Arabidopsis thaliana: one gene and its partners. The protein of the gene in region 3 interacts with the protein of the main gene of each other region in a biochemical or structural test. Each region holds a gene or a part of one and is shown on either strand. Other genes may lie near its edges.

Evidence for each region. Proteins that work in one complex are often made in the same cells at the same time.
Region 1: the proteins of HSF1 (region 3) and TBP2 form a complex in vitro, tested with the Arabidopsis thaliana proteins (2 studies listed by BioGRID).
Region 2: of the proteins of HSF1 (region 3) and CRK1, one has a biochemical effect on the other in vitro, tested with the Arabidopsis thaliana proteins (one study listed by BioGRID).

Annotation. Positions count from the first base shown.
Region 1 is NC_003070.9:20,723,467-20,731,335, forward strand, and holds TBP2 (TATA binding protein 2), read right to left. Parts: upstream 4,626-7,869; 5' UTR 4,362-4,625; intron 4,021-4,361; 5' UTR 4,018-4,020; coding exon 3,941-4,017; intron 3,846-3,940; coding exon 3,758-3,845; intron 3,647-3,757; coding exon 3,575-3,646; intron 3,489-3,574; coding exon 3,438-3,488; intron 3,313-3,437; coding exon 3,268-3,312; intron 3,124-3,267; coding exon 3,031-3,123; intron 2,940-3,030; coding exon 2,838-2,939; coding exon of another isoform or gene 2,808-2,837; exon of another isoform or gene 2,759-2,807; coding exon 2,684-2,758; 3' UTR 2,678-2,683; exon of another isoform or gene 2,590-2,677; 3' UTR 2,040-2,589; downstream 1-2,039. Other genes in the region: BCDH BETA1 (branched-chain alpha-keto acid decarboxylase E1 beta subunit), read left to right, coding at 16-167, 336-447, 534-569, 642-701, 773-830, 914-1,101, 1,183-1,251, 1,321-1,407 and 4 more; AT1G55530 (RING/U-box superfamily protein), read right to left, coding at 6,006-7,061. UniProt on the Arabidopsis thaliana protein: General transcription factor (GTF) that functions at the core of the DNA-binding multiprotein factor TFIID.
Region 2 is NC_003071.7:17,147,017-17,155,696, reverse strand, and holds CRK1 (CDPK-related kinase 1), read right to left. Parts: upstream 5,603-8,680; 5' UTR 5,206-5,602; coding exon 4,723-5,205; intron 4,550-4,722; coding exon 4,419-4,549; intron 4,328-4,418; coding exon 4,286-4,327; intron 4,201-4,285; coding exon 4,092-4,200; intron 3,884-4,091; coding exon 3,805-3,883; intron 3,714-3,804; coding exon 3,417-3,713; intron 3,302-3,416; coding exon 3,189-3,301; intron 3,073-3,188; coding exon 2,965-3,072; intron 2,877-2,964; coding exon 2,814-2,876; intron 2,732-2,813; coding exon 2,564-2,731; intron 2,457-2,563; coding exon 2,319-2,456; 3' UTR 2,004-2,318; downstream 1-2,003. Other genes in the region: AT2G41150 (plant/protein), read right to left, coding at 64-292, 370-599, 702-804, 931-1,164, 1,266-1,358, 1,521-1,846. UniProt on the Arabidopsis thaliana protein: May play a role in signal transduction pathways that involve calcium as a second messenger. Serine/threonine kinase that phosphorylates histone H3.
Region 3 is NC_003075.7:9,867,495-9,874,424, forward strand, and holds HSF1 (heat shock factor 1), read right to left. Parts: upstream 4,153-6,930; 5' UTR 4,110-4,152; coding exon 3,777-4,109; intron 3,630-3,776; coding exon 2,475-3,629; 3' UTR 2,324-2,474; downstream 1-2,323. Other genes in the region: AT4G17740 (Peptidase S41 family protein), read right to left, coding at 1-94, 194-302, 396-437, 514-589, 681-799, 871-939, 1,049-1,257, 1,345-1,427 and 3 more; AT4G17760 (PCNA domain-containing protein), read left to right, coding at 4,326-4,442, 4,516-4,605, 4,692-4,846, 4,925-5,045, 5,132-5,251, 5,339-5,409, 5,535-5,763. UniProt on the Arabidopsis thaliana protein: Transcriptional activator that specifically binds DNA sequence 5'-AGAAnnTTCT-3' known as heat shock promoter elements (HSE).

The DNA.
Region 1 (7,869 bases), on a different chromosome or scaffold from region 3:
GGTGGGTTTGTGTAAATGGCGGCTCTTTTAGGCAGATCCTGCCGGAAACTGAGTTTTCCGAGCTTGAGTCACGGAGCTAGGAGGGTATCGACGGAAACTGGAAAACCATTGAATCTATACTCTGCTATTAATCAAGCGCTTCACATCGCTTTGGACACCGATCCTCGGTAAGCTTACACTAGACATTTGATCCTTAGGTTAATAGACATCTAATACATTCTGTGGAGAAAGATAAAAAAAATGTGGGGAATTTAGTTAATTAGTATACACATATAGTTGCTTCAAATATGTATGATGTCGTTTTAGAGTCTGACTTTAAGTTTTTGTTGTGGGAGGTCTTATGTCTTTGGGGAAGACGTTGGCTTTGGTGGAGTCTTTCGCTGTACAACAGGTTTAGCTGAACGATTCGGGAAAAACCGTGTCTTCAATACTCCTCTTTGTGAGCAGGTATCATTCTTTGACCTGCTTCTGTTTTCACTTCTTAAGGTAGTGTTTCTTGATGAGTCATTCATTTAAGTTTTGACTGGATTCAGGGCATTGTTGGATTTGGCATTGGTCTAGCAGCAATGGTGAGTTCTTGTTTGTGTTCATGTTTTGAACTGTACAGTTGTGAGATTCAGTTTGGTGTTCCATTTTGACAGGGTAATCGAGCAATTGTAGAGATTCAGTTTGCAGATTATATATATCCTGCTTTTGATCAGGTAAATGTTCTCTCTTTAAACAAGCATATGCTTTCCGTCGCCATATTTCTGAACGGTTTTGTGATTTATAGATTGTTAATGAAGCTGCAAAGTTCAGATACCGAAGTGGTAACCAATTCAACTGTGGAGGTAAATCTTTCATCATTACGCTTTTTCTTGATTTGTTATTAGTAATCTATTTTACTCATTATGGTTTATATGGATCTTGATAGGACTTACGATAAGAGCACCATATGGAGCAGTTGGTCATGGTGGACATTACCATTCACAATCCCCTGAAGCTTTCTTTTGCCATGTCCCTGGTATTAAGGTTGTTATCCCTCGGAGTCCACGAGAAGCAAAGGGACTGTTGTTGTCATGTATCCGTGATCCAAATCCCGTTGTTTTCTTCGAACCAAAGGTACTTCCATTTCTTTTTTACCAACCAAATCAGCTTCTTAGCACCTCTTCTTAAGTCTTGAAACGTTGATATTTCCTTCAGTGGCTGTATCGTCAAGCAGTAGAAGAAGTCCCTGAGCATGACTATATGATACCTTTATCAGAAGCAGAGGTATCATAAGTTCATTTTTGGCCGTCTATTTTCGGAGACGAGAATCTCACTATTAGGAGTTATGAGCAGGTTATAAGAGAAGGCAATGACATTACACTGGTTGGATGGGGAGCTCAGCTTACCGTTATGGAACAAGCTTGTCTGGACGCGGAAAAGGTTTATAGCTTTATCTTTCAACTCAATGATGAATGGTTCGCAGTAATATTAACTAAGGTCTTGAGTTGATGCAGGAAGGAATATCATGTGAACTGATAGATCTCAAGACACTGCTTCCTTGGGACAAAGAAACCGTTGAGGCTTCAGTTAAAAAGACTGGCAGACTTCTTGTAAGATTTAAGCAATCTTGATTGACAACTTCGGATTTTGATTTGTCTGGTCGATCTTATAGATTGCTTTTGCTTGTGCTTGGGGTTGCAGATAAGCCATGAAGCTCCTGTAACAGGAGGTTTTGGAGCAGAGATCTCTGCAACAATTCTGGAACGTTGCTTTTTGAAGGTTAGTAAAAAGAAAGCTCAAATCATCACCGTTACAAGTGACTACTCTTTATTGGTTCTCCGTTTCTTAACTGTCATTTAAAATGCAGTTAGAAGCTCCAGTAAGCAGAGTTTGTGGTCTGGATACTCCATTTCCTCTTGTGTTTGAACCATTCTACATGCCCACCAAGAACAAGGCAAGTTCCTCTTCTCTTATCATTCCTCTATTCCGACCCAAAACGCAGTTTCTAACATATCATGTGTTCTTGCTTGATGCAGATATTGGATGCAATCAAATCGACTGTGAATTACTAGCCGTACTATCTGTAGTTTACTGTTTACACTAGGACTAATGTAATCGCATGTCTTTGTTATCAATTCGTCTAATGTAACACTACCGATTAACTTTAATGAATTTCAAGATAACGAAAACATGTTATAATAGGACTATCTCACTTAATGTGTACGAAGATTATTATCTACTGAAAGATGAAAGCTTATGATCCAAACATTTGACAAACCAGAGCGGCAAATTGCTTGAAAGAGTATATTAAAGGGCAAACAGACTTGGTGTCTTATTACAGAACAGTTAGCAAAGAACTAAGTAACTCTTTAATGATTGGGTATTGTTCACTGAAACAAACAGAACATGAAACAAGATTACTTGGAAGACATTTTTAGAACAAAAAGAAAAGAGATTTATTGGCATCTCCATTCTCTATTTACAATTTCTGGTTTTGAATCTGAATCATTTCAAGTTCTTGTCCAAGGAATATAACCCCACCAAGCGCCTGCCAACACCCGAGATCTCTAGTTCATGGCAATCCAAACGTGAACATGGTTTTTGCCTTCAATATGGTAGGCTCTGCTTTCGAATCGAAATAGTCATAATCAAACTGTTGATTGATTAAGGGGTATAAAATGTAAATGGAGATAAAGAAAGTTGAACTTACATACTATTATTGCTGGACCTTCCTGAATTCTCTAAGAACTGGGTAGATATTCTCAAATGCGGTATAAGTCTCTTCTCTCATCTGATTCGGGATTTCATAAGATGACAGAAGCATTTTCATGGAAACAATTTTAATCATTTGAGAGAAGTTCAATTATTACCTTGGCTCCAGTTATAACAATCTTTCCTGACACAAAAATAAGCAGTACAATCTTTGGAAGTTTCATCCTATATATCAATCCTGGAAATAGCTCAGGCTCGTACTGGCATCAATGATGAGAGAGGTATGAATCATCAGACCGATTAACACCCATGTTACAAGTATATATGATCACAATGCTTGAGATCACTTACACTTGAGAAAGCACTATGAGAGTATGCAAGACCTTCAAGCCTAATGGGGAATTTGACATCACATGAGCCTACAATGTTCTGTATCTTAAAATCCTGCAAAATGTAATCAGCAATTTTATTACTAGACTTTATACGTAATTTTTCCTTCCGATAAAAATACACACGAATTGTTGATTGAGATAAAAATGAATAACACAGTGTGTGCTGGATCAGGACCAGAGAGAGACATATGAGTACCTTGAACTTTGCAGGAAAGCCAAGCTTTTGAACAATCCGAGCATACTGAACAACAAAAAGGAATTCTTTAATATAACAGAGAACAAATACCTACTAGAGCTGTAACAAGTTTCTAACTACAGTGATGCTAGAAGAAGAACATCAGACAGTATTGAGATGAGCTAGTTTACCTTTCTTGCAGCAAGCTTTGAAAGATGTTCACTTTTAGCTCCGGTACACACCTAATATTGGACAGCATAGATGCCACGTCAAAACAAGGACATGGAAGATTAGGCCATAAGAGAAAAAGTGACAAAGGAAAACATACCATTTTCCCAGAAGCAAAAATTAACGCTGTGGTCTTTGGCTCTCTGATCCTCATGATTACAGCAGCGAAACGCTGGAACATAAAACACAGATTAAAACCAAATCCGAAAATACAAACCAAAGTGGTGGAGACCAAACAAAATGATCGATTACTAAAACACGAATATCACAAAGAAAGCAAAACCTTGGGGTTATATTCAGCATTCCTAGCTTGCAAAGCTATGGCTTTAAGATCAAGCTTGCAGTCTAAGTTCACTGTTGAGACAATATTTCTGAAACAAACCAAAAAAGAAAAAGGTAAGATCTTGTGATTCACAAAAGCACAAACTCAGAATCTTAAAACAGAGACACAAAAGAGAGAACTCACTGAAGAGTAGGAACAATCCCTGAAGGATGTTTAGTAAGGTCAACTGGCTGGCTCCCTTCCGTTCCTTGATCAGCCATTCTCTAACATAAGAATCAACGTAAACACACACACATCAGCTATAAATCTCGTCTTAAATAGGGCAAAACAGAAACTCATGTCGATCCAAACCAACAAGCATCCACGAAACAAAATTGTTTTCAAGCTTTACAATTTCATTGACCAAATCTGGTTATCTAAAAACCAGTTTTGATAATTGAAATCTAGAAACATTGTTTCACAATCAAACAACGAAAAGCTATGAAACACACAACTTCAGAACATGAGATCCAATTCGTAACAAGCAACTACGAAGAAACTCAATTCAGATAAAATCCGTGGAATTGAATCCATTAGGAACAAAGGGTACGAAACAAAATCAGACCTTTCGCTAGTTAGCAATCCGGAATTTCGAAATCTAGGGTTTCGTAAACCCAACAGATTGGAAGAAATTCCCCCGAAAAGGCGAAAGGAAGGTGAATGATTTGAAAAAGGAGAAGGCTTTTTATACAAAGATAAGAAATTTTTAGAGAGGGAAAGAGATTTGTAAATTGGGATTATATATAAAGGAGAGAGTTTTGATTTTCAATATCGCTCTCTGGGTTCTCTCTCTGGGGATGAGATTTGTGATCTGCGCTTTGGATCTGTGGAGCTTAAGGACACGTTATTACCTCTATATACTTTCCTAAACTACCCTTGCCTCTCTTTGTCGGATGAGGGTAATTATGGGAATTCAGCTTATTAGATTTTAATGTTACGGTCTTTACTGGAATTTTAGGGAACCGTCCACTCTTTGTCTGCCACGTGTTCTATTACAGAATGTGTTAGCATACGTTTTTTTGTTGGATCTATATGTAAGACTATAACTCAAGACACGTTCACAAATATGAATCGAGTAGAGACTATGAATCGCCACAACGACGGACTTATTACAAAGCAGTAGATTATCAATTATTGCATGAAGGTGCCAACTAAAACTTGTTAGAGATCATCACTCATCAGTGTCCGGGTCCTTTCTGACGAGTACGTGCCGATTCACTTCGTCTGACACCAGCTTTTAGATTATCAAATTGTTGTGCTCCATTTCCTTCCCCTTAATTTATAATAATAATAAAAAAAGAGATTAAGAACTGAATATGAGTTTTGTTTATGCGTGATTGTATTTGTATGATCAAAGACGGTCACTTACTCGGCAGAGTTCGGCCCATAGTCGTGTTGTACGCGGAGACCAAGAGAATAATCAAAGTGATTAGGGATAAAACCTGACGATTCATTACTTCTTCTTTTGGATTATGACTAATCTGAGAGATAATGTAATAAGTTGATACTACAATACTTATATATATACAAGGAGATTTGGTGAAACGTTAATATATTAGTATATATACTATATCAAAGTTAAGTTCGTTAATGTCAAAAGGTTCGTTAATAGCGCATAAAGTTGGTAACTTTGGTCGCATTTTACACATGTGAACTCTAGCTTTTATAAATTCTAATTAATGTTTACGCGTAAACAAAAGATTACATGGTAATGCAATCATGGATTAACACAAGGAAAAAGCATCACTTCATTAAGTTTAGTAAAAGACATCATATTTTGTTTTGGATGACGACATATTAAACGAGTCGGTCTAAGTAATTAGGCATACAATATTATACAATTCCATTTCATACAACAAAGGTGATGAATGTTAAATTACTTTTTATGTTTAAATTTATAATTTATTACCAACACAATTCGTACTACAGCCACCAATCTTGTTATTTTACCATTAAGGCATTAATTTAACAAACTAAGTTGCAAAAGTGGCTTTGGTTGACAACAAAAAACACACAAGCGACTTACAGAATCCGGCAAAAGATTTGCTCAAAAACAATTAAAAAAACACAAACTGAAAGATATTTGTTTTCCAAAGATGTAGCATTCAACCAAATCTGAGAAACTTATGTACAGACAAAAGATCAGATTTAGGTAGAACCGAGATTTCATGATCACACCAAAAAGCTTATGTTGCTCAGGGAACATGTCTTAACTAGAATCCGTTGGTGCATTGCTATCTTGCGACGAGGAGAACAAGGTGCTAAACGGCCACGGGATCGAGAATCCGCTTCCGTCATTGTTCTCGTTCTCCTCCTCCTCCTCCTCTTCTTCTTCTTCTTCTTCTTCTTGGCGCCGGTTTCCATCGCTGTTCTCAGCTCCATGGCTGGTTGTAGCAGAAGCACTACTGCTTCCATTGTTATCGCTCGTTGTTGTTACTGAATCAGTCTTGGCTTCATCTGCAGGTAACTGATATCTGCAAACCGGGCATGAACTGTGAAGCTCAAGCCATGGTAACAAGCAGTCACTATGAAACTTGTGCGTACAGGGCATCAGCTTTGCCTCAGTTCCAATCTCAAAATCATCTAAACAAACCGAACATTGCAGAGTCTCTTCGATTTTCACAGTAGCCAAAGCCTCGACAGCTTCTTTTTTAGCAGGAGGTGTTCCATATCTGTTGGGATCATTCTCAGCTAGACGTTGAAGCAACATTTCAAATCCAGGACCAATGAAATAGTCACCTAAAGAACCAGCAGGTACAGAATCCATATCAGCAGAGTTTTGAACCGTGATAGTCTGATTGGAGGTATTGATCAAGATCACCCGTCCCGGATTATTACCTCCATTACCAGTACTCTCAGATTCTACAGACAACCCTGCTCGTATCCCCTGAAGCAACTGCAAAACAGCAGCGGAATGTCTTCTCCTTCTCCTGAGAATCTCTTGAAGCTGCCAATCCAAATCATTTTCTCCATCGTCTTCATTGTTCTCGGTCTGTACCTCGTTTTGATTATCTTCAACAGACTCAACACTCTGGTTTCTCCTACGACGCACAGGATCATTCATAAGTTCCATCAAGATAGGCGCCCAAAGAGAGTTGTTTGCTCTAACATCAGCCGGATCAGAAGAATCATGATCGTCGTCATCTTCCATTTCTTCAACAAACCCACTTTGACAAAAGGGACATTTGATCTCAGCTTCCATGACTGGATTCACAGTTTGAGAACACATATGACACCAATACCTCGTTACAACTGCTTCTTCCATGTCCGATTCTTTCTACCTAGAAATAACCACAAAGAATAATTAAAAAAAATAAAATAACACAGAATAAGAACTTGTAGCTAAATGAGTAAATCTCGTTGAAGAGACTAATATACATCTGTCAGCTAATGAAGTTCATCGAACCCCTAAGAGCGAATAAGGAACATCAAAGCGTAGAATAAAACCCAATCATCAAGACACTGAAAAACCCAATAATATCAAAATGTCAATAAAAGAAAATGACTTTATAGAAGAGAAATGAAAAGGGTTTTGAAATCGTCAATCGCAAACCAGAACATTTATCAAAGTAGACGAAATCGTAAAAGTTTACAACAAAGTCATCGATTCAAAGATATGAGCTTTTGTTTGGTCGGATTCAAAATCGAAAGAAGAATCTGCGTTCCATCTTGAAACCCTAACCATAAATCAGCCGTTTTAAAGAAACGATAAAAGTAACAGAAATTAGCAAACCTTTTGAGTCTTGTTGTTCGATAGCAGAAACCGAGAAGCACAGAAAAATGTAGCGACGATGAAGAAGGATTTTGAGTTTTGAAAATTGAAGAAGATGAGAAAAAGAGAGGGTTTCTTTGTTTTATGTACGAAAGGAGGAGAATTGTCGTAAGAAATTAGAAAAGTAGAAGAAGAAAAGAAAAAAAAAAAGATAGGAGAGAGTTTATCCAAGAAAGAAAAAATGAAAAGGATCCTCCTCTTCTTCCAGATCCTTCTGGGTTTCTCATTTCTTTTCTCTCTGTGGGTCTTATTCTTAATTAGCTGCTCCTTTTTTTTAATCAGCTCATTAATTCCAGTAGAC
Region 2 (8,680 bases), on a different chromosome or scaffold from region 3:
AATGAGACTCTTGTCTGAATCGTTGTGTAGACTTTGCTAGTGCCTAGTGAGATCATAGATAGTTTAGCTTGCTGCTTCTTTGCCTTCATCCATGGTGTAAACTGGTATTTCCCAGTTCTTGTTCTTTTTCGGATCATCAGTCAAAGTGAGATCGGTTTCGTACTCTCTAAATGTTTTGAAGAATGTCTTTGCACCCATCATTATCAACCTCTCCACCATGAACAACTGGTAATTGTTCTCGATGATCGGATCCAAAATCTCACTAAAATTCGATGAATACGCCACTTTGTATCTGCAGTGTAACAAGAGTCTTACACGAACATTCTACATATATAACTAAAAACTTGAATCTAAACATTATGGTTTTACCTGATAGCTAGAGGTGAAAAGAAATCAGGGGTTCTTTCATTAGAACCGATAAAAAGAGTCCGTCCTGGTGGGATTTGTTTCTGAATTCTGCCAATGATGAATTCTGGCCGTGTGTCTCTATCTAAATGTGGAAACTGGCTTCTTTCCACGCGAAATCTGTCTTTTCTTGTTTTCAGTTTGTCACCTCGACGAACATGGATTGCATCGTAATCACCAAGTTTTGCTTTTATCTGTTCAACCAAAACTGGTCATAAATAAGCTATAAGGCGTCAACAGTACATTACCATCTGGTCACTCTTTCCTGAAAGCTAGATTATGTGCAACTCCTTCACCTTTTCTGCAGCATCTCTCAATCTTGATGCTGCCATAGTCTGGAGAAATGAATAAGGAAGCATGACGTCGCTACGATTACCTCGATCCTTGCATTCAACAAACCTACAATGAAGATAGATATATGATCTGATAATGATGATGCCTAACACAAACAAGATAAGAAAATAATGCTCAAGGAGCAGCAACTTCCCAATCTATTGGAAACACAATTTCCTCAGCAATGCTTACCATGCAAGGGGGCTTGCGGTTCGGTTAATGAGCAAAAGATTTGTAAAGTCGCTAGAGTCATTTAGCTCATGCCTGTTTGCCCCATATACATGCGCACTCCCACGTTCTTTCAATTTCATACTCGTCGATAGCATTATGTGCCATGTTTCCGAGTCATCCAAGATCACAGGTATTTTCTCAGAGATGAGATCAATATCATACAATGATTCCATTGCACAAGAGCTCACTTCCCAACTAAGAACATACAAAGGAGAGAGAGAGAGAGACCTCTTGTGTTCAAAAGTGGGAAACAAAACAAAACCTAAGTTTTTGAAGTAGTTTAAAGAAACTCTCACCTTTCCTCTCTAGTTTCATTGTTGGATCGATTAAGTATACCCTTCTTGTTATGTATTGGATTGATGCACATCCGAGATGGCATTACAAAAGTCCTGCAACAAGAAAATTGCAATTACAGTGACCATCTTTACCAAGAGAGCTGCATCATTTATTCAACTAACCATCTCATTGAACCAGATAGGCTAATTGCCATTTCAAGAACTTCATCAGAAATCTCAAAAGTTTGACATATTGGTGGATTTTGCAAAAGTTACCTGTTCAGAAACATGGCTTCTTCAAGGGCACATCTAAGGCTAGATTCTTGGTGACCCAAACCGGCACAGGTCTCACAGTTCTTACCAGGACAATCGATTCTGTTTCCCCAGTACAAGTACTTGTCCGACAAACTATGCTGTGTCTTGTTTCGAGTTGACCTCACAAAATAACCAATTAGGGTTGTCCGATACGGTAAAGCCAATCCGCCGGTGGAGATCACCGAAGTGAAAAGGAGGAGAAATGCAACTGCGACTATACATAACAGAACAAGTCTTTGAGATCCTGGAGTGGCTTTTAACTTATGGGGTTTGCTCATTGTCGCCATTAATGAAACTGTTGTAGTGTCTAGATCAGAGTAAGAAGAGAGAAAGAAAGAATCTTTGCGACGGTTAGGTAGAGATTAAGATGAGATCAGAGATCTTAAGGTCAAAGTCACGTGGTTGTCTCTGACAATGTGAGACACAATCACGTGTCGTATCATTGCTCTGATCCAACGATGGCACAAAGACAAATTGTTTTTTCCGGCTGCCATTAAAAGAGTGCTTCACACGTAAACATCACTGGATTAAAAACACCAATCGGATATGTCTCATTCTGTACATTCCTCTTCTTCATAAACCTTTCCTTCCCACCACACACAAATACACTCACAGACATAATTATCGAATCTTTGACTCAGAAGCTTAACCATGAATAGAAAAAGAAAACTAAAAAAACTATCAAGAAGTGGAGAGGAAAGAAGAAACCAGATCTACTCCACCTAGTTGCATCTTTTCTCATCTAACAATGGCGTTACTCTAAGCTTTTTGTAAGGTCCGAGAAGACACGCCATGTAGCAATCTGACAAACCCTAAGAAACTAAGTTTGCCATCAGAATGTCTTATCCAATCCTGAAGAACAACGTGCACCGGCACTGATGGCCCTAGTCCGAGTTCCTGCAATTTAAAACATACAGATGCTTAAGATCAAGCATGACCAGGTTTTTTGCTCTTCACGAGTCTTCTCTAGCCCCTAGGTGAATTAAAAAGGGTAAAACTTATACCGATGCAAGTTCTTCAATCATGATGGGCCTATTCCCGTCTTTCTCAAACAACTCGTAAGCACGCCGTGCATGTTGCTCCCATGTCTCCATTGCTTCGAGCTGATAAACGCTTAATGCTGAAGCACAAAACTCTTCAAAGTCTAGTTTCTTGTATTGAAGACAACTTATCTGCATCCCAACAGAGATTACAACGTTAAACCACCAAACCTAATGATTAAGCTTATAGTCCTTATATTTATAGCTTTCTTACCATGTGAACAAAATCAAACACTCGAGAATCCTTCATAGCATCTGTTGAACTCTTTAGGATTGCCTGAGATTTGTAGAGGAAAGTTCAATAATCACAGAAGATCGCAAAAGAAAACTGAAGAGGTTGATGGAATCATGGAAAAACAACTCACTGTTTTGTAATTCTGCATCGAGATATATCCATTTTTGCTTGGCCCCAACAATGTGAATTGCTCCCGAAGATACGCTAACTGCGGTACAGTTAATGTTTTGGCAAGAGCCTAAAACCATGAAAAACAAAACCCATTAATCATAAAGTTTTCATTCAAAGAACTCAACAATTGAAATTGTTAAGTAAGTAGTATATATGTCACAGCTTCTGTGGAATCAAACTCACCGCTAAAGCCGATTTTCTCAATGAAGTTGACATTATGTACACTTTTACAAGCTTGTATATGATCATATCAGATGGAATCTTTAGTTCATGCGAGCCAACCAGCCAGGGATGACCTGAGGAAAAAGACAATTGATTACTCAGATGTTCAGAATATAAGAAGTGCAGAACCATGAAAACAAAATAATGATGTGTTAAACCTGTTATAGAGATCAAAGATATTATACTTACACAAAGCCTGGGCCGCAGTTAGTCTTTTACGGTAATCTTTGTTTAGCAATCTCTTCACAAAATCTACAGCTTCGGGTGATAGAGAAGGCCAAGGAGCTTCTTCAAAATTCGGTTCTGCCTTTAGTACAGCTCGAAAGATTCCGGATTCAGTACGGGCCCAAAAGGGTCGACTGCCACAGAGAAGAATATAAGCAATCACTCCTATACTCCACATGTCAGCTTCTGTTCCATATGTACGGTGTAAAACTTCCGGGGCCACATAGTAAGCACTCCCTACAATATCATTCAACCTCTCGTCTGCAGAATTGCAAAACACCGTCAAATTTTCTATTTAACATGAAGATGAGTTTGATATGAGAAATCTTGAGTCAATTTCAACATCTCTAACCTGGCTTGACATAGTCAGAAAGACCAAAATCAATTGCTTTCAGAGGAGAAGTCTCATCCTTGGTAGAGAAAAGAAAGTTCTGTGAAAGGTAAACAAACAAATAGAAAGAAACATAACCGTCATTATCACTCTGCATAAGTTAGTGGAACTCATTTCTATGTGTACAAAGACTGCTTAATGTGATGGGACCTAGAAAGTGAAGTGTCAACAAAAGCCAAAATGATTTACAAAAAAAAACAATGAGAGAACAATCTAGAAATTAAACATCACCATGGATTATAAAGTACCTCGGGTTTAAGGTCACGGTGAACCACACCTTGTAGATGACAGTAAGCCACAACACTGAGAATCTGAACCATAACTTTTTTAGCATCATCTTCGGAGTATTTTCCACCCCTAATTAGATCAAGCTCAACCAGTCAAAGCACGATTCAGAAGAGAAAATCAATCAGATACAGAGCCATGTGTGATTAGCAATTACCTTTGAAGTATTTTGTCCAAGAGTTCACCACCTTTGCATAATCTGGTAAAAGGAGATTACAATATATTTATTGCAATCCTGGAATTGAAAATCAAATGATCTTAAGACATCTCACTGAGAAATGTATACTTACTCCATGACAATATAAACATTTTCATCATCTTCAAACGCGTCATAGAACTGGACTAGGTTCTTATGACCAGTCAAAGCCCGCAACATCTTCACTTCTCTACTAACATCCTCAATCGCAATTGCAGTTGTCATCTGCAGTCAAAACCATTCAACACTAAGCAATGACTCGGGGTCGAGAAACAAGCTGTATACTTCTATAAACACATGGCGATAAAACTAGAATTCGAAATCATTGTCATATATTTCAAAACAACATAACGAATACAGAATTAAGAGAAATTGATTTTCAGTTTCAAAGATCGAACCTTTGATTTAGGAATAACTTTAACAGCAACTTCTTGACCTTTCAAGCTACCTTTTTTACCCTTAGCAGAGCAAGTATATCCAAAATGTCCACGACCCACCTCACCATCAATCTCATAGTGTGAAGCAAACTGTTTTGAAAAGCCAAAACTCTTATCGAGACCGATCTCACATTCTTTACCTTCGGGAATCGAAACCTCATTAGGCTTGACAGAGCCATAGCGACGCGCGAGGAAAGCTCGTATGTGCTTAGCAGGAGAAGGAGGAGGGAAAGGTCTCTTGAAGATACGAAGAGGCGTTGAGCTCACGCTAGAAGATACAGATGGTGAGGATTTGAATAAGCTAGGTACAGGACTCGGGCTATAAAACGGAAAGCCAGAGGATTTCGCCGGTGGCTGTGAATTCGTCGGAGCTTCATTAGTTTCGCCGGAAACTGGGAGGCTTTTTGATTGTTGCTCGACGGGTTTTCCATGACAGATCCCCATGAATTGTCAATTCGAAACGAAAAGCTTCAAAATTTGAGAAGAATATCGATATCACTCCGATGAATAAGTTAGGTTGCGAAACAGATTCATGTGAGAAGCAAGAAATCCCAGAAATCGAGACTCGGAAACCCAGAACGCAGAGAGGGGTAAGGAAATTGAAATTAACAAAAAGGTTGAGAATTGAGATCAATAGATTAATTAGAGGAAGATAAACCACACGCAAAGAGGAGGAAGAAGGAGAGAATTGAGTTTAGTTCCAATCAGAAGCAAAAGCTAAATAAGTGAAAAGAGAGAGTCGAACAAGGAAAAGCAAAAGACTCTTAAGAATGAAAAAAGGAAGAAGAAGATGCTTTTTTTAGCAGTAGCAACAAGAAAAATAAAGTGGAGAGAATCAAAAAGAGAAAAAGCAAAGCCAAAGGCTTCATTCATTTCTTTTGTTTTTATTTTATTCAGTTCTTTTAGTTTTTAATCACTTTATTGTTAAAATGGGATTAATGTGATGTTTGGCTGCCAAGAAAAGAGTCTTCCTTCACCAACTTGCTACAAAATTATGATGGTAAATTGATTATTAAAAAATTTGTTGCTAATTGATGGCTAATGTATAGATATTCTTATGTTTTAGAAATATTGTAATGTCTTGTTGATATCAAACCCATCAATTTTAACTTATAGAGAGAGAATAGACGAGATGAGTAGTCTCTATATTTGCTAAATTCTATCAAGACTTACACAGCAACCTTATCTTTGCACTGCCAATTTTGCTATGTCTACAAATATCAATCGAAGGATCCAAAAGAGTCCTAGAATCATGCCAAAATATATAAAAGCAGAGCATATATATAACCTCGAAGTTGGTACTTGATAAAAGAAAGCTCTACCCAAAGGCCTAATTTGTTTCATAGGGTTAGCCAATTGTTAAACCAAGTTTTGCCAAATTTCACTTGTCCACCACATATATCAACTTTACACCAAAAATGAATGAGTTGTGAGAAGGAGTAGGTAAAAGTTGTGTTTTCTCTTTTATGTAATTTAAATCCATATCAAGTTGTAAAAACATCATTTAACATATGTTCTTATTATGAATTATAGTTCATTTGAATTTAAAATGAGACATAATTTTCATTCTCGAAATTCTTTTTGTTTCTTCTATATCTCATTCCAGATTTTGGTTTGCCTACCCATAAACTTCGAAAACAACATCTAAGAATTTACTTGCACGTCAAAGCCCAAAGGAGTAGATAAATAAATAATAGTTTGGGTTTCTGCACTAGGCACATCACATATATATGATTTATCATACCGATGAATATCTAATCATGAATAGTTCTCGACGTAGTATAGTACGACATTGCCATAATTAATCAGCTATCATTCTTTTCTTTTTCCTTTAACTTTTACATGACCGGGTGTTTTAGACTAAAGTTTTCATTTATACGAAATAAAAATAAAATGACAATGCTTTTAGACCTTGATATTTACGTCACAGTTATATATAAAACCATGCTTTAAATTATAGAGCATCACAAGGCTATCATACTGGATTAAATATGTTTTCTTGGGCTATACATCTTCCAATGCAGCCAATCGTCATAATCCATAAACATTTATGTAATCCGTGAGATAGTGAATTACCCACCCAAAAAGAAAAATGCGTGAGATAGTGACGATCTCACGTGTTATAATGAGTTAAAAAAACTCAGTATCCGTAGTTGGAAGGCAATGATTTGATTGGTTTCTTTCTTTTGAAACGAGTTCCTCGAGTGATTATTTTAGTCTAAGATCAAATAATTGCGTTCATTGTTGGCACATTGGAATTGAAATTAGCATATTTAATTCTTTAAGTTTAGTTATTGGTTCTTATTTCTATTTTCATTTTTTTTTTTGTAGAAGAGTCAATTTACAATACAAAGATTGATGAATCGTACCTGAAACTTGAATAATATTTTCAGATTGAAGATGAAACTAGACAAATATATAAAGAAATATTTTACGTACGTAAGATAGCCCAAGGAAAGTATAAAACAGAGAAAAACCCTAACAACCATCTTCCTCGGTGGGCTTTTTTGGTTGTGAGTTATTTGGCAGCAAAAGCCTAAATTATTACTAGAAGATAATGGAAGGAAAAGTAATGTATCGGAGAAAAGAAGAATATCAATATTCCTTGACATCTATTTTCTCCCACTTCTTTTTCTTTTGCCACCTCTTTTCATTTCTAATTTTTTTCCTACATCGTAAATTCTTATATGAAACAAAATAAAACAAAAAAAGTTCCATTTATACACTCATGTTAAGTCACACACACAAAAATAAAAGTTTATGTAACATACGGGCATTTTGCATAATATGTCAATTCAATTTTTTCCCATAGAATTTCACAATAAATCACATGCAGTTGTACGTATTTTCATGTACTTACTCTGTTTCGGTTGCATCTACAAAGTCCGATTTTAACAAATTCGTTTAGTTTCGATTCAGTATTGGTCCCGTGAATTATTTGGAGTTTTGTATAAATTGATTAATAATATATGTGATGAAAGAGTTGGTGCCTTTGACGTACGGCATAGACTTAGAGTATAGAGACGTGGTGGTCTTGTGTAACTCAAGTGTTGTCATGTCGGAGTCACTGTGGGACTGCTCTACTCGAATCTAATTTGGGCCTTTCTGAAACCCTAAAACCGATTTTGTTCCAATCTCAGTTTGGACCCCTCTTCTCTCACCTTAGATGGGCTTTTGGATCCTCGATTCTTCTCCTCTGTTTTCCTTTTTGTTTTTATGTTTCTTAACCCATCAAAGAGTTTAATAATTGAAAAGAAAAAGAGTTTGATCGGTTTTATCTAAAAAATCTATATAGCAGCCATTTTGTGAAATAAATCCTATAGTTGGGAATTATTTACAATAACTGCCACTAGATTTTAATGTTTGTTTTTGATAATTAGAAAAAAAAATCTTTGAATAATTAAATATTTGACATTTAACAATCTTCCCTAAATCTCTCAACATTAACTACACGATTAGTTACTAAAATAAAACTTGCAAAATATTTAATATCATTTAATTATTACAAAATTATTATTTTTGATATTGCTTTTCTCCATGACTATAATAATTCGATTATAATCATCAAACCGCAGAGATATTTGATAGCATTTAATTACTACAAAATTACAAAATATTTAGACAATAATTCATAAACATATCATAAATAAGATCAATATTAATAAAATAAATAGTTTTTTACGGGACGGGTTGGCGGGACGGGTTTGGCAAGACGTTACTTAATAACAATTGTAAACTATAAAATAATTTTTTTTATAGATAGATACAATTTGTAAACTTTTATGTATACTAACTTTTAGAAAATATCTAGTAAGGTTTAAAAGTGAACCAAACCACAATAAAGTGTTTCTTATAGAGTGATTATCCCAAGACTTGTAAGTCTTAATTCTCGGTTTAACCCTCAAATATACTTTAAAAG
Region 3 (6,930 bases):
TTCCGTAAGTTGGTTCTCCATAAACCAGAGCACGTTTATTATCTTTCAAGGCACCTGCTAATATCTCGCTGGCACTCGCGGTGCCTTTGTTAACCTGGAAAAGAGAAAGATTGTGTGAGAATGAAATCTTTCATGGCATTTACAGATTACAATAAGGACTAGATTTGAGGAAAGGAAGGATGGAAGCTCATACAAGAACGGCAAGAGGCTCAGAGGTTGCTATAGCATTGCTTCCATCAGTATCATATATATCTCTAACACCTCGACTATCGCAAATATACACAATCACTCCTTTATCTAACCTGTGGATAGCAAATGTTGAAGTTTCTATTATGATAGCTGTGGATCTTGAAATTTTCTAATTCGTTATATGTAACGGTTTATGAGGTTATTACCAAAATTTAGCAATCTCAATTCCTTCTGGGAAAGAACCTCCACTGCAGCAAGAACAATTTTTTTAAGAAAGGCTGTTGCAAAAGCAAAAAAGAGTTTATGTTCTCAAAAAATCATCACCTATTGTCTCGAAGGTCCAAGACGAATGCGTTTACATTGTTGCCTCTCAAGGTTTCAATAGCTTCCCTTACCGCACCTACAAAAAAAGTGTTAAGACTTTGAGAGATAATAAACTAGAGAGTAGATAAATTTGTAAGAAGGAATCAGTAATGCCAAAGAATACATACTAGAAGCATTTTGATTGAATGTTGTTAGCTTGATATAGCCAATCTTAGGGGAGTTACTCCCAGAACCAGGAAGTTCACATAATCTTGACTTCACTGGATTCACAGAAACCCGCTCTCGCCTGAAATAACAACAATTGTAGTTACCAAATGAACGTGACAACGAAGATAAATGTAGGCATGAGAGAAATACGTCAAAGTTAAGAGTCTCGTTTCAGGTCCACTGCGAATCGCTAGCTCCACTGCACTTCCTTCAGGTCCCCTGCATTTCAACCAAAGCATTATCATCATTTCTTACTTCAGAACCATTAACTCGTCACACTTAGATTTTTCAAAGTTAAGGAATGATGAAAAATGGAAATGTAACTCACTGCAACATCTGTGCAGCATCGTATATGGTAAGAGTTTCTGTGGTTGTATTATCAATTCCTTGAATAACATCGCCAGGTAATATCCCCGCCCTATTTGCAGGACCTCCTGGAGCAGCTGATATAACAACAAGCCCAGCTGGTGGTCCATCTGATGCAGTGGGGTAACCTATCGACAGCCCAACACCCGTAACCGCCCCTTGAGTCCCCGACTGCCTTCAACCAAACCATTTAATTACTAGATCTTACATACAGTCTATTTGCTAAATTCAGAACTGTATATTTTCAGGAAATCTTACCCGCAAACTCTTGAACTTTCCGGGCTCCAAGAATCGAGTAAAAGGATCATCTAGTGTTGCCACCATTTTCTTGATAGCCATGTCTAAACACAAACCAACACCAAATTTAGAAGCAAGTTGTACTAATTTTGTAAAAGGTTAATAAAGCTATTCACACATACATGTCTCTTCTCGAGTGTTCATAGGCTCATTTCGTAAAGCAGTCTCTCTGTAACGAAACCAGCTTTGTCCATTAAAGGTTTTATCAATATAAGCACGATCAATTGTTCTCCAAGCCTCGAGGAAGAGAAGATTCTCTTCAGTAAGACCCCCTAAAGAGACAGAGAAAAAAAGCCACACAAATGAAATCAAATTGCATTCCCCGAAATTTATATGGTTTCTCAACATGTAAAAAAAACAGAACTTACATGATGGTGGTGAATCAGTGGTAACAACAGAAATGGAAGAGACAAGCAGAACAGAAACGATCCGAACTAATGCAACAGAGAGATTCTGTCTGAAATTAACAGAAGATTTCATCATAACCTTCCCAGATAATTTCCTCTGATCATTTCTTTCGATAACACACAGAAATCTATTACAGACGAACACGACTCCTGGGTTTGCTGCATTGCTCCTTGAAATGTTACTACGACTACGAGCATAACTAAATTTGCTAGCTTTTGAAATCTTTGGAGGTTGTTTTACCCACAATTTCACCTGCAAAGGTTGAAAATTCTATTACACAGCTAAACGGACACAAATTGGGGAATTGCAGGAGAGAAACTTAAAAAGGAGTCAACTATACGAAAGAAAAGTACCTGGATTGAGAAATTAGGGTTTATTTTGTTAGGCTTAGTAAAAGAAATTGGGGATAATGAAGAGCTCGCAAGGACCTCCATTGAAAAGAGCTTCCCCGGGAAAATTCCAACTCTGTTTTTCTTATCGAAAAAGGACTACAAATATGATTGGACAAAGTAGTCACTTTCTACAATAAATTAGAAAAAATGGCATTTTCTTTTTAATAATAAATACAACTCTTCTATTATCCAAGGAAAGATTTCTGCACAAAGTTGCAACCGTACTACTGAGTCCTAACGATAATGTTAGTAGAGAAAGACTTTACAATGGATACTAAACATAATCCTTTACTAGTGTTCTGTTTCTGATGTGAGAAGACCCAATTCTTCTATAAGCTTATCCATATGTCTACCATTTGTGTTGTTGTTGTTGTTGTTGTTGTTGTTGTTGTTGTTGTTGTTGTTGTTGTTGTTGTTGTTCTCTAGTGTAGTTGCATCTCCAAAAACTGGGCTTTCTGGCATATATTCTTCAAGGAATTCAAAGTTACTCATTAGTTCATCAATCTCGGGGTCTTCGGGTATTCCCTCAAGCTGAATCGGGACTGAACCACCATCAAGGAATGGGCTTGGAGAGATGAATGCCTCTGGAACATTCTTCTCTGTATCCATGAAGTTTTCTGTAGGGAAGTCGTTGATACTCTCTCGTGTCAATTGTGGTATCTGGGAAGTCTCTGGCATTATGGTATCCGGGAGAGAAGTTGAAGTAGAGGGTAAGTATGATAAAGGCTGTCCTGATGGTACAGATGCATATGCCTGTGACTGTCCTGAAGTTATGGGTAGTACCTCTTGAAGAGTGACTCCTGATACCTGGTTTGGAGATGAGAACCCGTCAAGAAACGGATACTTATCATCTGTTTTCATCATGTTCCACATCATTGAATCGTTTCTAAGTGGCTGATACTTAACTATCTGTCCATCTGATGCTTCCAAGCTATGGCTATGACTATTACTCTCAGTAGCAGCAGTACTATCCTCTCTGAGTCTCCGCTTCTTATTGGCCTCGGTTACATGCATATTACTATCAGTCTGCTTCTGTATAAACTGAGAGAGGAAAGTAGGATTCTGTACAGCTTTAGCAAGGAAAGACATAATCTGTTGTTGCCTCTGCTCCATAACCTGAAGATGTTTAACCAAAACCTGAAGTTTATTATCTGTTGTTTGTTGCTGCTGGCGTAACTTAACGAGTTCCTGCATCAACACGTTTTTGTCTCTTTTAAGCTGTTCAACTTCTTCCTCTAACCCAAATTTCCCAACCTCAACACATGAAGATAATGCAGCCATTGAACCTTGACCCTGAGATAATTGCTGAGATTGTGGATTACTACTACTACTACCATGTCCCTGAACAGATTTTCTCCGGCTTATCTTCTTCAATAGATGTTTTTGACCTCTTAAGAAACCTTCATTAGCAAATTCCCATCGATCTGGATCCACTTTCCTAAAACCCTGTTCATCAAAATTGGCACATGAATCATATAAATCTTATCAAACACATCAAGCACTAAGATTATTCAACGAAATCATAATCTATACACAGTACAATTAGAGAAATCAATGGTGGAGAAATTAGGGCGCGAGAGAATTTATACTTACATAGGTGTTTAACTGGCGAACAAAGCTGGAGAAATTGTTGTGTTTGAAGTATTTAGGTAGAAGATCACGAGAAAACTCCGGTGGATCCCAAACAATGAAGCTATTGTTCGTCGGACTCCATGAGACAATCGCGTCCGTCGCCGGATCTTCCACCATGTCATACGTCTTGCTAAGGAAAGGGGGCGGTAAAGAGTTCGCATTAAGTAAAGTCGCTGGATGCGGATTCCGCGGTGGTGGCGCCGTCACAGCCTCGCCGATATTCGTTCCTCCGCCGGTAACACCGTCCATTTTCGTACGGATAAAGAAAGAGAAGTATTTGAAATTTACAAACATACCCTTTTATTTCTCTGTGACTCAGATATAAACGCGATATCATAAAGATGGGCTTTTATTTTTCTTTTTAGTTTGTGTGTGGGCCAAAAAGATCAACTTTATTAATAACTGGGCCTGCTAAAACAAATATAATAATAATCAATTTAATTGCTATATTGTCGGCATACATTTTCTGGCGGGAAAGCAGAGGAAGGAGAGTGAGAGAGAGAGAGAGAAATGAGTTCGTCCTCGTCGCCGGCGATTGAACCAGACACACCGGACCTGATTTGCCAGCTCGATAATGTTCAAGGAATGGTCGATGCACTCACTTGCGTCCGATGGAAACGCCACCAGGTTTTTATCTCCATCCTCCCCAAATTCAATCTAGGGTTCTTCTTTGATTTTCTGAAAACTTCTCCGTTTCCAGGATGCTTTAGTAGAATTATCTGAACACGGAATAGTTTTGATTGTTGAAGAATCAGGTTGTCTTCAAGCCAAAGTTTATCTTCAACGCGAGGTATCGATTTCTGAGTTTATCTTAAATTTTCTAAACCCCTAAAATTCGATTGAATCCGAAATCTGTTTGATGTGTTATATGAGTAGCTATTCACGAAATACGAGTATGGAGCTCAAGGTAGGCCGAGATTCGGAATCAGCTTAGGGCTTCTTGTTGATTGCTTGAACACATTTTCATCACCTGGACATTCTAATACTATAGAAATCAAGTATCCAGGACCTGATATGGAGCTTCTTCTCAAGTATGTGTACTATGATCCTTTGCTTTGTGAATATACGGATTACGAGTAATTAGCTGATTGGTGTGAGTGTTTGATTAGATCTGTTGATACCTTAAACTCTTGCATCTACTCTGAGATAAGAACTAGAATTCCCGAAACTGTTACTTGGGACTACAACTTTGAGCAGGCGGGAATCGCGCCACTTACTTTTACAGTAAAGGTAGTAACATAGTTTAGTATCGTTTTTCGTTTAACATTGTTAGTCTGAGCTTTTTCTCAAATGGTAATTGATAATGTATCTATCAGTCAGCGGCGTTGAAGGAAGCAATAGATGATCTTGAATGGCCTGGTTCAAGTGTACAGATCAGTCTTCAAAAGGAACCCCCTTGTGTAATCTTTAGAGGAGAAGGACATGGAGACTTGCAGGTCTTGTTTCTCACTTGTTTCTTGGTGATGTATATTATCTTAATGTGAAAGAATCAAGGAACATATTTCGATCTATCCTCTTTGCAGATAGACTTCATGTATTATGCCAACACAGATCTTCTCCTTGCCTTTCATTGTGATACCGAAGTCTCTTACGGGTAACAATGAACTCAATTCTTTCTCTACCGTAGCTTTATGGTTAAAACACACGCTCCTACGCTTGATTTACCAATCAAGAATAGTAGCCAGATACATTTGCTAAACTTCTCATTGTTGATTGTAGGTACAAATACAAGTTTTTGAAAGCAACAACGGCAAACATACCGGGAAACGTAGTGAGAGAAAACAGGGGAAGCAAACTAACAATAGGAAGAGGAGGAATGTTGAAAGTTCAGCACTTGGTTTCAGTTTCTAAAGCTTTAGCTCCACAAGTGGAATCCGCAGGGTATCAGCCACCGAGTCGGATTGCTTATATAGAGTTCTTTGTGAAGCCTGAAGAGCCTGCTGATTAATAGATTTTCTCCTTCAGTTACTTTATCTTTGTAATTCTAGTTCTTCTTTTTAGTCAGTCTCTCAATACTATCAGTATCAGTATCAGAAAGAAAGAAAGAAAAAGTTTAAGGCTTGCAAAGAAAAACTGCGTGTGGTTTCACTAAATTAGCTCAGATGTCTCGTCGTTTAGTGTTATATCGCTGAACGACGTCGTGCAGTGGAGACATAGGTATGTCATACCGAAAAAAGAAACCGGGTGTATAGTTCGGGGGATTGAACCCGACGTGAATCGAACACGCAACCTTCTGATCTGGAGTCAGACGCGCTACCATTGCGCCACGGATCCGGATGTGTAACATGTATATTTTACTATTTAATATACAAGTTAAAAATAGCTTCACCGTTATAATTTGATCTCTGATTATGATTGGCGAAAATATCTGAGATGGGTTGGTGTTGGTTGGATCAAATAAATAAAAATTGTAAGCAAAACCTTTAAATGTTCTAAGCTTGACACGTGGAGTTAAAACAGACGTCCAAGTAGCTTTCTCACTATTTCAAAGTTGGTTGGACTTTTTTCTCATGATTATTAAATCACACTCAAAAGAGAAAGAAATATAAATGACTCGAGGCCAAACACCAAAAAAAAGTCTTCAAAATATAATTTTAGAAAATCATATGATTATGTTGACAAAAAGAAAAAGTAAATCGTATGATTAGTGTTTCTAATCTTCTTAAGAAAATGATTACGTTTGTTAAAGAAGAGTTTGGGTGATGATTTTATACTAAAGTTAGCAGTTTGTGTGTTTTCTTTAATCATTTTTTGTAAAGAAAATTACCAATAATGTTGACATGATATCATATATCACTACCATCTATTGGAAATAGTTTATAGAAGAATAATTAAATGAATCGACAAGAACTCACACATATACGCAAATTGTTATGTATGTGCACCTAATGTAGATTTGTAGGCATTATATGGTGGGGACGTGTTACCATTTATATTGACATTAATGATGGTATTGACACTTTTGTGGACCTAATCATGATACAAACATACATCAATGCTGCTTATATAATATACTTATATGTCTATGTCGCGCACACACACCCACACATATAAACGGTGGGAATTTATCGAATGATATGCTAATCATTTCTGTATACTAAACGTACAATGTCTC